Linked DNA regions of Drosophila melanogaster. The protein of the gene in region 2 interacts with the protein of the main gene of each other region in a pairwise test. Each region holds a gene or a part of one and is shown on either strand. Other genes may lie near its edges.

Region 1 (6,261 bases), 3.5 Mb from region 2:
TTGGATTACGCTCTTGCCAGTGGGCAACCAGCTCCTCCTCCCCTGCGATTCCCACTGCAATTGGCGGTGGGAGCTTTGTAGTGGCGGTTCGGACTGGGGACCCGGCTTTGCTATATATAGCGTCATGGCCATCATTTCGCAGATTATCTCTGAAACATTTCATTTCATTTCATTTCACTCGATTTACTTCCTTTCGGGCCAACTCGCACTTTAATTGGCATTTTAATGCCGTAAACAAATTATTCACTGCCCCCGAACGATCAAGTGTCATAATTTCTTTTCGCCACCTCAGTGAAACGGGCTGTGTGTGAATTTGTGCGAAAGTTTTTCACGGTCCCTAACAATGCTTTATGGTTTATCGCAATTTTATTGCTATTTTCCAGCCAGCTCATAATAGTTCAAGTATTAGCTACAAATTTGAAAACTATAATAGAAGAAACTGCTGTTCCAATTTGTCCAAACATTTTAGATAAATAATGTACTAACCTATTGTTTCAAATAAACGCGCTAAGTGAGTTATACTACCTTAAGTCCCGTGAACGTCTTATTCAAAATATTATTTATGGGAAGTAGATGAATGTGTATCTATTCACACAATCTAAATTGGACCTCGCCTTTTGAGAACTTCATTGAACTGTCCGCAGACCATCGATTCGTCACTTCTTCGCTTTATTTCGTGTTCCTCGCCTAATGATCAAATGGTCTAATAGTTTATTTCATTACTGGGGCTCTGGAACAGGGACTGGCTTCTATCAACCTGTCTGGCTTTTTGGCCACTCACTAACCTCCAAACGTTTAATTAATGATCTGTTGTTTCTGTTTCGGGCGCTTCTTTTACGCCCATCTGCCACCGCACTCCCAAAAACAAAAACAAAAACAAAAAGAAAAGTAAAAAATCTGTATCCAACCGACCGACCATCGACTTCTATTTAAAATTAAATTAACCTGCTTAATTTGCCCCCACCCCTCGTTACTCCTCCTCTGCGATGGACGCGCCCAAAACATTCACTCCAAAACGAGGGGCGAAAAAAAAAATCGAAAGGCGCTACTAATCGCCCCAATGCCTATGGATTCAATGTATGTATCTGCATCTGACGGATACATGCGGCCGATTTCCGTGCATTTAACGCATAAACGCTTTTTGGACACTTTTATTCCATTCGGGGATTATCATTATCGCCGCTGCTACCCTTTCGCCCTTCACCATTTCGATTCGATTTTGATCGCTCAATTAGCGTAAAAGTAACATGTCAAACCTATTAATCACTTTCGAAAATAAAGCACAACACTCTTCTTGAGCTAAGGAAACAATCGAATTTATAGAAAATACATTCCATGCCCGCTCGGTGGGCCAATAGTGCGTGAATCTAGGCGTAGCCAAAAGAGAAAAATTATATAATTTATTTTTTCTTTTGATTGCCAAATTAAAAAGTGTGTCTGTATCTGTGCGCGGACAACTCTATTTCGCTCGCAACGTCTTTTTGGCCTGGCTAAATCTTAATGCCGCCCCACGAAATCGCTGCGTCATTACTCGAACTTCAATTTCATTCATTCATCAATTACAATACAAGAAAAATACAGTTTCGAGCGGTGGAAGCCTTGAATCTTTCGAATACGTGTCTGCTGATCGCGAGGCAGCCAGATACAAAAACTAAAATTCATCTATCAACTTTTTGTTGGTGGTAAATGTTCCTCAGTTGACATTAAGTCTAATATTTGTTGATCCTGTGATGGTGCTTATTGTAATCAATTAAATTAAGCCGTAGTGGTTCATTAGAGTTTTAAAATTCATTTATGTATTATAGTTAACGTAATGGCAGGAAGGTTTCTTGGATATTGTGGTTTTATGTTCAATTTAGATATTCTAAGGTGTTTATTTATATATTGTTTTTGCCCCTTTCTGAAAAAGTATCTTACTGTCTTTTGCTCAACCTCAATCTGTCTTGTGCATATCTTTCAACTTACATGCTTGATATTTCTGATCGCTTTGGTAGCATCAATTTGCCAGCCTCTTCTAGTTTATTGTGCAGCTTTGCTCTAATTGCACAACTCGTTGTCGTGGCTGCGATGGTCGTTGTTGGTATAAAATCCGCACGGATATCCGTTGGCCGCTGGCAGGAAGAAATCACCATTTGAGCACCGTTTGGCTATTGCAGCGTATTTTTCTCTCTCGGCCTTACGGATGTTGATAACTCGACTGGCATTGGCTGCTATACAAATTTGATCTTCTGGTGGTTATAGTTGTTGCTTCAGCTGGTTTTTGTTGTTGTCGTAGTGGAGCGTAAGTCATCCTGTGATCGGGCCAAGATATAAGATATATTGCATATATCTAGCTTTGATATCCGATGGCGCGTGGGAACTTCAGTTTAGGGGATATTTTTTCGGATGGATTTAAGTTGGTATAGGATAGTCTTTAGGTAGTTTTTTTTGTATAGCAGAAAATAGCTTTGTACAACTTTATATAAATATTGTCTGGCTGCCAATATTCGTATTATCAATTAAACGTAGTCAACGGTAAAAGATGTTGATTGAATGTATTTAATAAATTATTGTATTTAAAACACTTTTAGATTTATGGTAATTAGGAGCTTTAGTTGTACGTATATACGAGGGAAGTTGCCACTTTGAGATATAGGTATATTTTACTGATCTTTTTACACTTTTTACAATCACTCGCGTTGGCCAGCTTGGTCTGATTTATGATACAAGTTGCTTAGAATTACTTTTTATTATATGTATGTATTTCTCTATTTAATACGTTTTAATTGGCGAGCTGTTCTCCCCGGAGTTGACATCGATCCCCGGCCAAGCCGCTTCGATCCAATCTCACCGCACTTCCCAGTCGTTTCAGTTTCCTCTCGACGATCGCTCAGCCCGGGCTATAATCTTTTCAATTTTATAATTTCATTATGGATTGTCTGTTTAATGTCTGCCCATAATCATCAGCCTGTACACATGTCTCGGTGGCATTTGTTGTTGATTTCCGTGCAGCTCGGCTTGGATCACTTTGCATTTACGCGCTGTCACAATTTGCATTAATTGGATCTAAGCGAGTAGTTATCATTGATTTAGCACCGATCTCTGGTATATATAGGCCATAGATATGCATCGCTCTGTGCAAGTGTTTTAATATCACATCATCCACGTACTGGGCGTAGTTCATAAAATTCCTAAGCAATTTGTGATTTCATTTGTGTGAGAGGAGCATAAATTGTACGTTTTATTCGAGATTTACAGCAAAGTTGTATCGATTTATTGTCTATAGGAGGATTCGAGTTTGGAGATAGTTTCTTTTTGTTTTTGTCTAGGATGAAATTGACACAGTTAGGAATTTGCATTTGCATATGCTTTTAATTTACACATAACATATATTTTGTATTTAGGATGTATCCTTAAGCGATCCTATCTTCACTTCACTATAAAACGGTAGCGCTTCATTTTGAATGTTTTACCGTTATCACCGATCGCATGGCGTTACGTCTTACGACCGCTTTACGTAGTGGATCTCTTCTGCTCAGCGTTACGTGCTGCTGTTTTTCCGACAAAAGCGACAACACGACCAATAGCTTTGAGACCGTCTCACGGACTGATGATAGACCCAGTCGCAGTCGCAGCTTCAGTTTTCGATTTCCTAATAACGAAAAGCTAAGAAAAGAGCAGCAGCTCAGCTCAGAAACATAACAGAAGGAAAAAACGCAAAATAGACGACGTCTTCGGCGAGTGTATGGGTGCTCTGAATGAATACACAACGATAAAAGACCGATCCCCGATCCACCAGTGATGATTCCCACTTCCACGCGAGACTCACAATCCACAGCGTCGACAGCGACGCCAACTGCATCAGCGACGCCAGCAGAGGCAGCGACCGAGGCAGAAGCAGGGGCCTAGGCAACGATGCAATAAATCGAAGCTAATACACTTCTTTCTTAATGTAGAGCGATCCAGCGAACGTGCTCACACAGATACACGAACACATGCAAAGATGCTCTGGCCTAGACGAGTTTCGAACGGTAAATGAGGGGCCGCCAGCCGAGCGATCCGCGCGATGCATCCTGCCTGGTTTTACTCAATGAAAATTCCAAAAGCGCTAGACCTGCATCCAAAAACTGGGTGGAGATCTTCCGCCCCAACGACGAACAGAGAGCCGATCTCAAGACCCGAACCCGAACCCGAACCAAAGCCGATCTCGTGGCCGCTTCACTTGGGTTCCACAAAACGCCGAGATACTGTATCTGAAAAGTGAGCGTGAAGCAGTCGCCGCTGGAAGCTCGAGCGGGCCACAAGCGGACAACATTCTAGTAACTTGGGGGGTGCACCTAAAGAAAAAGAGATTACTTCTGGGTTGAATGGGTCGAATTTTAGTTGTAGGAATGTAACTTTTGAATTAATTTTAAAGATGCATTTATTCATGAATCTACGCGTTAAAGATTAGATCAGTATTTAATTATTTTAAATAGCTGGTAGGATAATCACACTTAAAACCCAGTTGTAAATTATTATAAACTATTATACTCTTGGCAAAACTAACCAAGTAGGAAAGACAAAAATCCGATGGACATCTTTTGTGGACTGATTTCCTTCTCCTTGTCTAGAAATATCCCATCATTTCTCTGTGTGCACACTCTTTAGGGGAATGGGAAAGTTCAACGGGTTCTTTCACTGATCGCAGATTAACATACGGTCAGAGAAGGGTCTCTGGTCTTAACTTGTGTGTCCTACTTGGCACGAGACTGGAATCGGGCATTTTCAATGTCCATGTCCATGTTCAAGACCATGTCATGTGCCTTCTTCTTGGCCACTTCACACAGCTGCAACAGCAGCAGCAATTGCAACTGCAACTGCAATAGCAGCAGCAGCAGCAACTGGAACTCTTGATGTTGCTGCGGTGCCTGGCTGCTGTTGCTGTTGCACGAAATCGATCAAATCAAAAATGACTTTGTGAAGTGACTAACTGCCTAACTGCCAGCTGCCGTTGCTAGTTGCTGTTGCAAGTTGCTGATGTTGCTGCTGCCGCTGCTCCGGCCGCTGCGGCTGTCTAACAGTAGCTTGGTTGCTTTGATTTTTTGGCGCAAGTCCAAGTCCAAGTGCATGGACATACAACACTTCAAAATGAAAGCACATTCCCTTGTAGAAATTTTACCGTTACAGGTACAGCGCACCCCATGCACATCAGGTCGTTTGTCCACAGTCCGCAGTCCGCAGTCCGCACTGTCCATTTCTCCGCTGCCATCATGCTGATGATCGGCCAGGCCAACACTTGGCAGCTTTATGGCTCAGATATTTGCAAATCTCCAGGTTCCGTAGCGTCTTGAGCTGTTATTGTAGCTGTTCTCCTCTTGTTATTCTAGCTGATGATCTGCCATCATCTTCATCCCGCCAAGAGGAAGCTGCGAAGGCCGAGATACCCACTCTCCTCAACGTTCTCATCTTTCGCAGCGTCGGCCGCGTGCCATGGTCGTTGGTTATTTATTTGAGTCAATGAGTTCACAACTATTTTTCTATTTTTCCTTAATGGCCTTTCCTTTTTCCACCCGCTCCCGCTTTCCACACGATGCCCGCACAGCATTTTCCTTCGCTTGCTTTGCTGCTTTTCCGGGCAGGGAAGCGCCTTGTTGTCTTCGCTTGATTGATGGTTTGATAATATGAAGTCGGCTGGCTTGCATTTTGGGCCTCTGTGGCCAAAAAGGATTGTTATGATGGCCAGTGTGCTGCAAATGAGTTCAATTGAAGATTATCTTTTATTAATTAGCGTGGCGGAGGAATGTGGGTCAGCTATGGAATTCAGTTGGATGATTGGGGCATCCTTTGTGGAGTGATTGCAATTGGGTGGTGGAATGCGGAGGAGATTGACGGTGAAATGCCGGAACTTTGGTCTTGAGTGAGTGTTTGATTGAACCAGAAAATAGATGGGGTATGAAAGATATATGCATTATTGGATACTCAGTTCAGTTAGAATAAATTCTTGGTTAGCATTTCATGTTATTGCACGAATAATATATGTTGTATGTGAAAATGAGTGCACCACACCTTGAACCAATACCTCAATCTGATATCCCCTTGAGTTATGTAGTATTTAATTACTTAGTTTTTCTCCCATCGAAGCTCTATTCGCCATCGATGATCGCCATGCTCGGAACCTTGTCAACACAAATCATGTTCTATGGAGCGAAGAATTTCCAGATTAACTTCACCTGGGCAGGTACATAAATACCAACATAGTTATAAACACTGCATAGCTCCGATTGGAAGCAATATACATAA
Region 2 (6,229 bases):
TTCGATTTCCACACGCTTCCCGTTTCAATGCCCTTCGCTTTGGGCCAATACCTTTTAAATTGGTTTGCCTGACAACGCCTCGCTCAATAAATATCTAATTTCCGCAGTATGTGTGTGCTTATACATTGTGTTCGAATTAAAGTGGGAAATGCTCATTTTATTTAGCCACCCCTTAAGAGAGGGGTCGTGGCCGAGCTTAAGCCCATCAAGCGTATGATTAGCGTCAATCAGTGAAATCGTGGACGTTTAATTAAAAATCAATCAGTTGCTGTGACATAAAACCGAATGGTTCGATAAACAGTTTATGCAGCCAACGTTTACGAAACGTACGAAAAGCTGAATTCTAGCCTGAATAAGTGAACGATTTTCTGGGGGTAGATATGTACATTGAAAATTTTGTAGTGGACATCAATCATTTTGTTGCTCGGCCTGGGCAAAGTTTCGTGTTAATCAGGAGAACACCCATCGCATGATAGATTGACTCTGTATTTTGTGTGTCTAAGGTTAGGTTCAGGTAATTAGGGGTCCGGGTTCGAAAGGATATTGTAGACGTCAAAAATTGTCCGTTATTTGACTTTCAACTTTAACTTTCTAGGCCAAGGCTTAAGTTCGGAAAATTATTTTTCCCTCTGTCTGTAATAAAATAATTTTATATGATTACAAGAAATATAAATCCTATTGAAAACATTCGACTCAGGCTTGTATTTCAAAAGGAGCTTGGCCAAAATGGTTTGGCATGCCGGTAGAAATTGACAAGACAAATAATAAAAAAAAGAGAGTCGATTTCCTCGGCTATCTGATACCCTGTACTCAGCGTTAGAGTGGGTAAGATGCACAATCTCGGAAAATTATTTTTCCCTCTGTCTGTAATAAAATAATTTTATATGATTACAAGAAATATAAATCCTATTGAAAACATTCGACTCAGGCTTGTATTTCAAAAGGAGCTTGGCCAAAATGGTTTGGCATGCCGGTAGAAATTGACAAGACAAATAATAAAAAAAAGAGAGTCGATTTCCTCGGCTATCTGATACCCTGTACTCAGCGTTAGAGTGGGTAAGATGCACAATCTCGCCGTTTCTAGAATCTGCATTCTTAATATCAATGTTCAAAAAATATAGGGTCGAAAACTCATCCTTCTAACTGATACAAACTTTTCAACGAATGTTGTATACCCTTAACTCTAAAAGTAAGCGGTATAATTAAATACATGCATACATTTTTATAGCATTAATCGTTTATGTGCAACAATTTGATTTATTAATCTCATTACATTTTATTGGAAAAAATCAGACCAAAACTCCATAAAGTCAATCAGCAAAAGTGCCGTAAGGCAACCAAATAATTTAATCGACGGCATGTTATGGATATTTTATTTCTCTGTTCATTATAATGAGTTGATTAAGAGCTAGAGTAAACTTTCCAACCTGGCTAGACTCTGGTCAAGGAAAATTAACTTCGAGTGCGAAGTGTGGGAGGATGAAATGTACGCAGTTTATGATTGCCTTCACGCCTGTCTGGTCATTAGCCTAGGCACAACTTTGCCCCGAAAAAGCACATTTGCGGTCCCCGCATCCCTTGCTTTTTGTTTTCTTTTTTTTTATTTTGCATTTTCAGTAGTCCACAAATAAAACTTTTTTTGTTTGTTTATCCATGATGAGGGTTTGACAGAGATTGCTGTGATGGGGGGGAAGTGTAGGGCCAGAGGTCCTAAAGCATAAACAGATCAATAAAACAAGGCGAAGAAGAAAAGCCGACAGGACGACAGCCACAAAACTAGCTGAGGAATTCGCCCAAAAGAGGCCAAGAAATAACAGCGTCAACTGGCGCAGTTCCCATGCAAATTTCTCCAGACCCATGTATCTGCAACACCCCCGTCAGAAGAACCCAAGAACCCCATGGAACGGTGCCCATGGAACCCAGAGGCACCACGAGGACGACACTCTCCACGCCCATTAACTGTTGCCCGTCTATTTGTTTGTACAAATAATGTGTAAGCAGGCATATTTTTGTCAACGAGGCTAATTTCTGTCACAGATTTACGTGACAATGGCCCAGGCAAGAAGCTAGAGCCCAGAAGGCGCTGGGAAAGCCAAAGAAATCCGCATCAACACGCATACTCGGAATAAAAACACAACAATTACAAAACAGGTTTCATCCAGTGGGATGGGTTGGTGGGTGGTGGGTGGTGGGTGGCTTTGGACAAGTCTGGCAGTTTTTGGTCGAAATATTTTCGTTTCTTCTGCTGTCAGTGAAGTTGGTTATTCGTCGTCGTCGTTTTGCGGCCAGTTCGTAAAAGCCATAAAAAGAAATGTACCAAGCAGCAGTAGACAAAATAAAAAAAAAGAGGAGGCCCAAAACAAAACTGAGCTGTGAAGAACCAGCGTCGAAAAAAAACTGGGTTAGCTTGCGTACTCCCCCCAACATTCCCCATATTTCCCCACCTCCGTTCCATTGTTGCTCCTCGTTGTTTCTTTTTTTTTAGCACCTATGCACCGTTTTTGCGATGCACCCTGCTCCTGTCCGTCTTGGTTATTGTTGTCCAAGAAACTCAATGTGTGACACATATGCAGTCGCCACTCCCCCTGCCACCCACCGACGCCCACTCACCCACTCTGCCACTGCCACTGCAACACTACACCTCCAGATTTTTCTGCGCGTTCCACTTTTTCTTTCCATCATCTTAAAGACCAAAGACACAGATCCAAAAAATGTAGTGGTTGAGAAAAGTTTAAAACACTTATACTTTGTCTTTTAATCCTTCCTTCGAAAAAAATCTTTGTATGAACATTTATATTTCATTTGTATATACGTAGTTTCCTATTGTTTGCTACATATAAATGGCGATAATTTTTGGGAACCAAATTTGCAACCAAACTAAAATTGATCTAAAATTGTTAAAAACCACACATGTGTTTATATATTTTATTTGCCAAATCTACAGACATTTCGACTAACTCTCAGCTGTTATTTTAGTTGTTTGTCAAACAGCTGTTAGTTTATCAATAGCTCTCAATAAAACAAACTATCATTGCAAGTGTATGGTACCCAACATTTGCTTGTTAAATTAAAACCTTAAGCAAGTCCAACCTGATCCATGAACCAATCGAAATTGCATCCAATCCCTTGGACGGCAATGTAAATAGCCCGAGACATTTTCCCGATGCCTCAGCCGATCTGTGGAAACGCCAGTGAAGCGGCAGGATGCACTGGCCTGGCCATCAGAATCGGTGATTGACGCTGATACGTTTGCCACATTTAATTGGGAGAGTGGGTGGATCGCCACCCATCATCCGTCCACCACCCATCATCCACCCCCCGTCGAGGTTGTTTATTGACTGACAAGTGCTGCACATCCGGGCTGCGTTTGCGGAAATGAGCAAATGACTAATGACTGACCAGAGCGAAGGCACCCAAGGCGACGAGTGACCCTTGCCCACTCTGTTTTCTGTTTCTCCGCTTCTGTTTCTTGTTTACTGTGCGCTTCAATTAAAGCATCTTGCAGGAAATTGAACTTTTAGTCAAGTGCCTGGTCGAGTGAGTGGCTGGGAGTTGGAGGAGGAGGAGGTGGATGAGGATGATGATGTGGGGGGGCCAAGTGAGTGGGTGGTTCTTTGAGACAGCGACGGCGACTTGCTCATCAATCTGTTACGTACTTGACTTGTGGGTGGGTTCGTAGGTCGGCGGCTGTTCAGGGCTTGAAAAGCGTATCCGTATCCAGTTGTTGCATGTGCCTAGGCTACTTTTCTCTCCTTCGTTTGCTCTTTCTGCTTTCGTGCCACTTGAGTTTTGATTACTGATCACTTCACTTTGCAATCACCGCTTGATTACTTTTGGTATCATAAGCACTGCCGGATCTCCCTCGACCGATACGATCTCTGGTTAATGCTTCGCGGCTATCAAAGCCTATCTATTTGTGGTCACCATTTCGCGATTTTATCTAGCCGGCTAGAGGTACGAAATGTTGCCGTTGCACCAGCAACATCACTATACGGGCTGCCACTTGTGGCAAAAATGATAATCGGCGATGCTCACGCGCCAAATTACCAACGTGGACTGGCACATCCGTGCCACATTATGCGCATTTTATGGCACGTTGGCGACCTCGACACTCGCTTCGTTTTTAGATCACCCGAAGGCGAGGCATGCAACACGGAAATTGTTGTCCTAGGCGCAACAGACCCAAAAACCGAAGCCCCCGAAGTCAGTTGACACGACCCATGCCGCTGGTGCGAGAGCCCCAAAGCCCGAAGACCCACGATTACCGGAGCATCTGGGCATGCGCAGTGACTGAGCCGGAATTAGTATGCTATCTGGCAATGCTCTGTCATCAGGCGGAGTATTCAAAGAAATTCTAAACTGGACAGTGACTTGATGGGGGCAAAGACGAAGATGGATGTACAATAGGTGGATGGTGGGGGTGAGGTGCGGGAGATGGGCGACCGACCGGCCAGATTCAAGTTCAGGTCGCCCTTTGACCGCAAAATTCCGGCGGCCAGCTAATAAACTCCAGAAGAAGCCAAATTTGTTGTTCGAATTTATTGTGGAACATTCTTTCCAACTAACCCACAACTAAGACTGATAAATGGCCAAGCATACTGGCAATTTGCAAGTTTCTGACCGTTTTTAGAGCACTCAGTTAACCCCAAAAGTTTTATATGCCTCATCTAGGTGCGGCCCATTTCGGTCCTCTTACCCAGCACAGCTCCTTTTGCTGTTTTTAATCTACAATATTAGCCGGTAGTGATGTTTCAATTAATTTTTAAGGTGCACCCCAAACTGCCCAAGAACCGAAGAGCATAGAGATGGTTAAAGATATAAAGATGGAGGCTTTAAGATGCAAAATGGGGGCAGAGAACTCCGGACGAAGCCAGAACCGCATGCTAAGATATGATGGCAGATGCCAAGCAGGATGAATAAATGGCTTGGATGCAAAGTTTAAATTTTTCATAGTTGGGTGGCTCGGTTTGGTTCGCTTCGTTTCGTTTCGTTTGGGTTTGCTTTTCTGGGGCTTGAGTGGCAAAGTAAAATGTTCCTCATATTTGTCTTCTTGAGGTTTTCATCGGTCAAACTACGGAGCAATTGGACTTGTAGCACTAGCAGTAGATTATTTCATTAAGGCGAAACTAAGTTATGGTTAAAAATCATATCATATACCCTTTTTAAAACTCCCAAATGAAATAAACATCAAAATAGTGGACAAACAGCAATTGAACTATTTTTGAACTATTTATTTCTTAAAAGAAATATATTTAATTTATATAATTCAATTGAAAACATTTTATTTGGCTATTTACACATTTTAACGCCCATCTCACAGAACCCAGACACGGTTTTTACGAATTCTAAATACATTTAAAAGAAGTTAAAATCGGGTAAAAAACATTTCAAACATAAAGCTCACGGTCAAGATTATTCTTCTTTCGTCGGCACTTTTCATTTTCCAGAGCACAAGCGCTAGTTCCCTCAAAGTAACATTTGCCATCATAATTGCAGGTGGGCAAGATGCATTTTCCGCACGGCTTATTGCAGTTTTCTCCCCATGCAATTCCGATTAGCATACAGGCTGTTTGATTAACAATAAGAATGATCAAAATATTTAGAAAATCTTTAGCTTACCCAGAATAACTAAGAAAAACAATTTCATAATGATAGTAGCCGATTATAACTGACTTAAACAGTCTCAAGTACATTGCATTTTATTGGTTATATTGGTTAAGGTTAAATGCGTTAAAAAAGCATTACAATCCAATTAAATTTTGTACGAGATGGTATAATACGTTTAGTACATGTTAAAAATGAATGTGCGATTGACTCTAAACTTATTTTAGTCAGAAGAAATAGCTAACCGGTAGTCCACTAAATTCATTCATTCAGCTTGAGAATTTTCGGGTTAACTAAACTCATTAAGGTAAAATATGTAAAATAATAATTATTTAATTTTCTTTGTAAGACCACAACAATTGGATTCTGCTTCATAGTAATATACGTTTTCAAAAAATGCTGCACAAAAAACATTTGTTAAGCATGCCAATTTTTCATTGTAGATATGCTTAGAGTCGATTTCGTAAAAAAAATCGGCTCAGTCACAACCTGAAAATAAAATTGAGGTATATAAGAAGTTACAATCGATTCGATAAACTTAGAAAAAATGTAATCTTATTTTTATAGCACTGAGTGCAACTATGAGGACAGCAACGGAAATACTTTAGATGGATTTGATTTAAAA

What was found.
Region 1: the proteins of CG4168 (region 2) and CG10348 interact in a two-hybrid assay, tested with the Drosophila melanogaster proteins (one large-scale study listed by BioGRID).

Annotation. Positions count from the first base shown.
Region 1 is NT_033779.5:18,728,932-18,735,192, forward strand, and holds the start of CG10348 (uncharacterized protein), read right to left. Parts: upstream 3,594-6,261; 5' UTR 1,966-3,593; intron 1-1,965.
Region 2 is NT_033779.5:15,196,418-15,202,646, forward strand, and holds the start of CG4168 (uncharacterized protein), read right to left. Parts: upstream 4,043-6,229; 5' UTR 3,657-4,042; intron 1-3,656. Other genes in the region: Sfp35C (seminal fluid protein 35C), read right to left, coding at 5,290-5,345, 5,405-5,566, 5,620-5,647.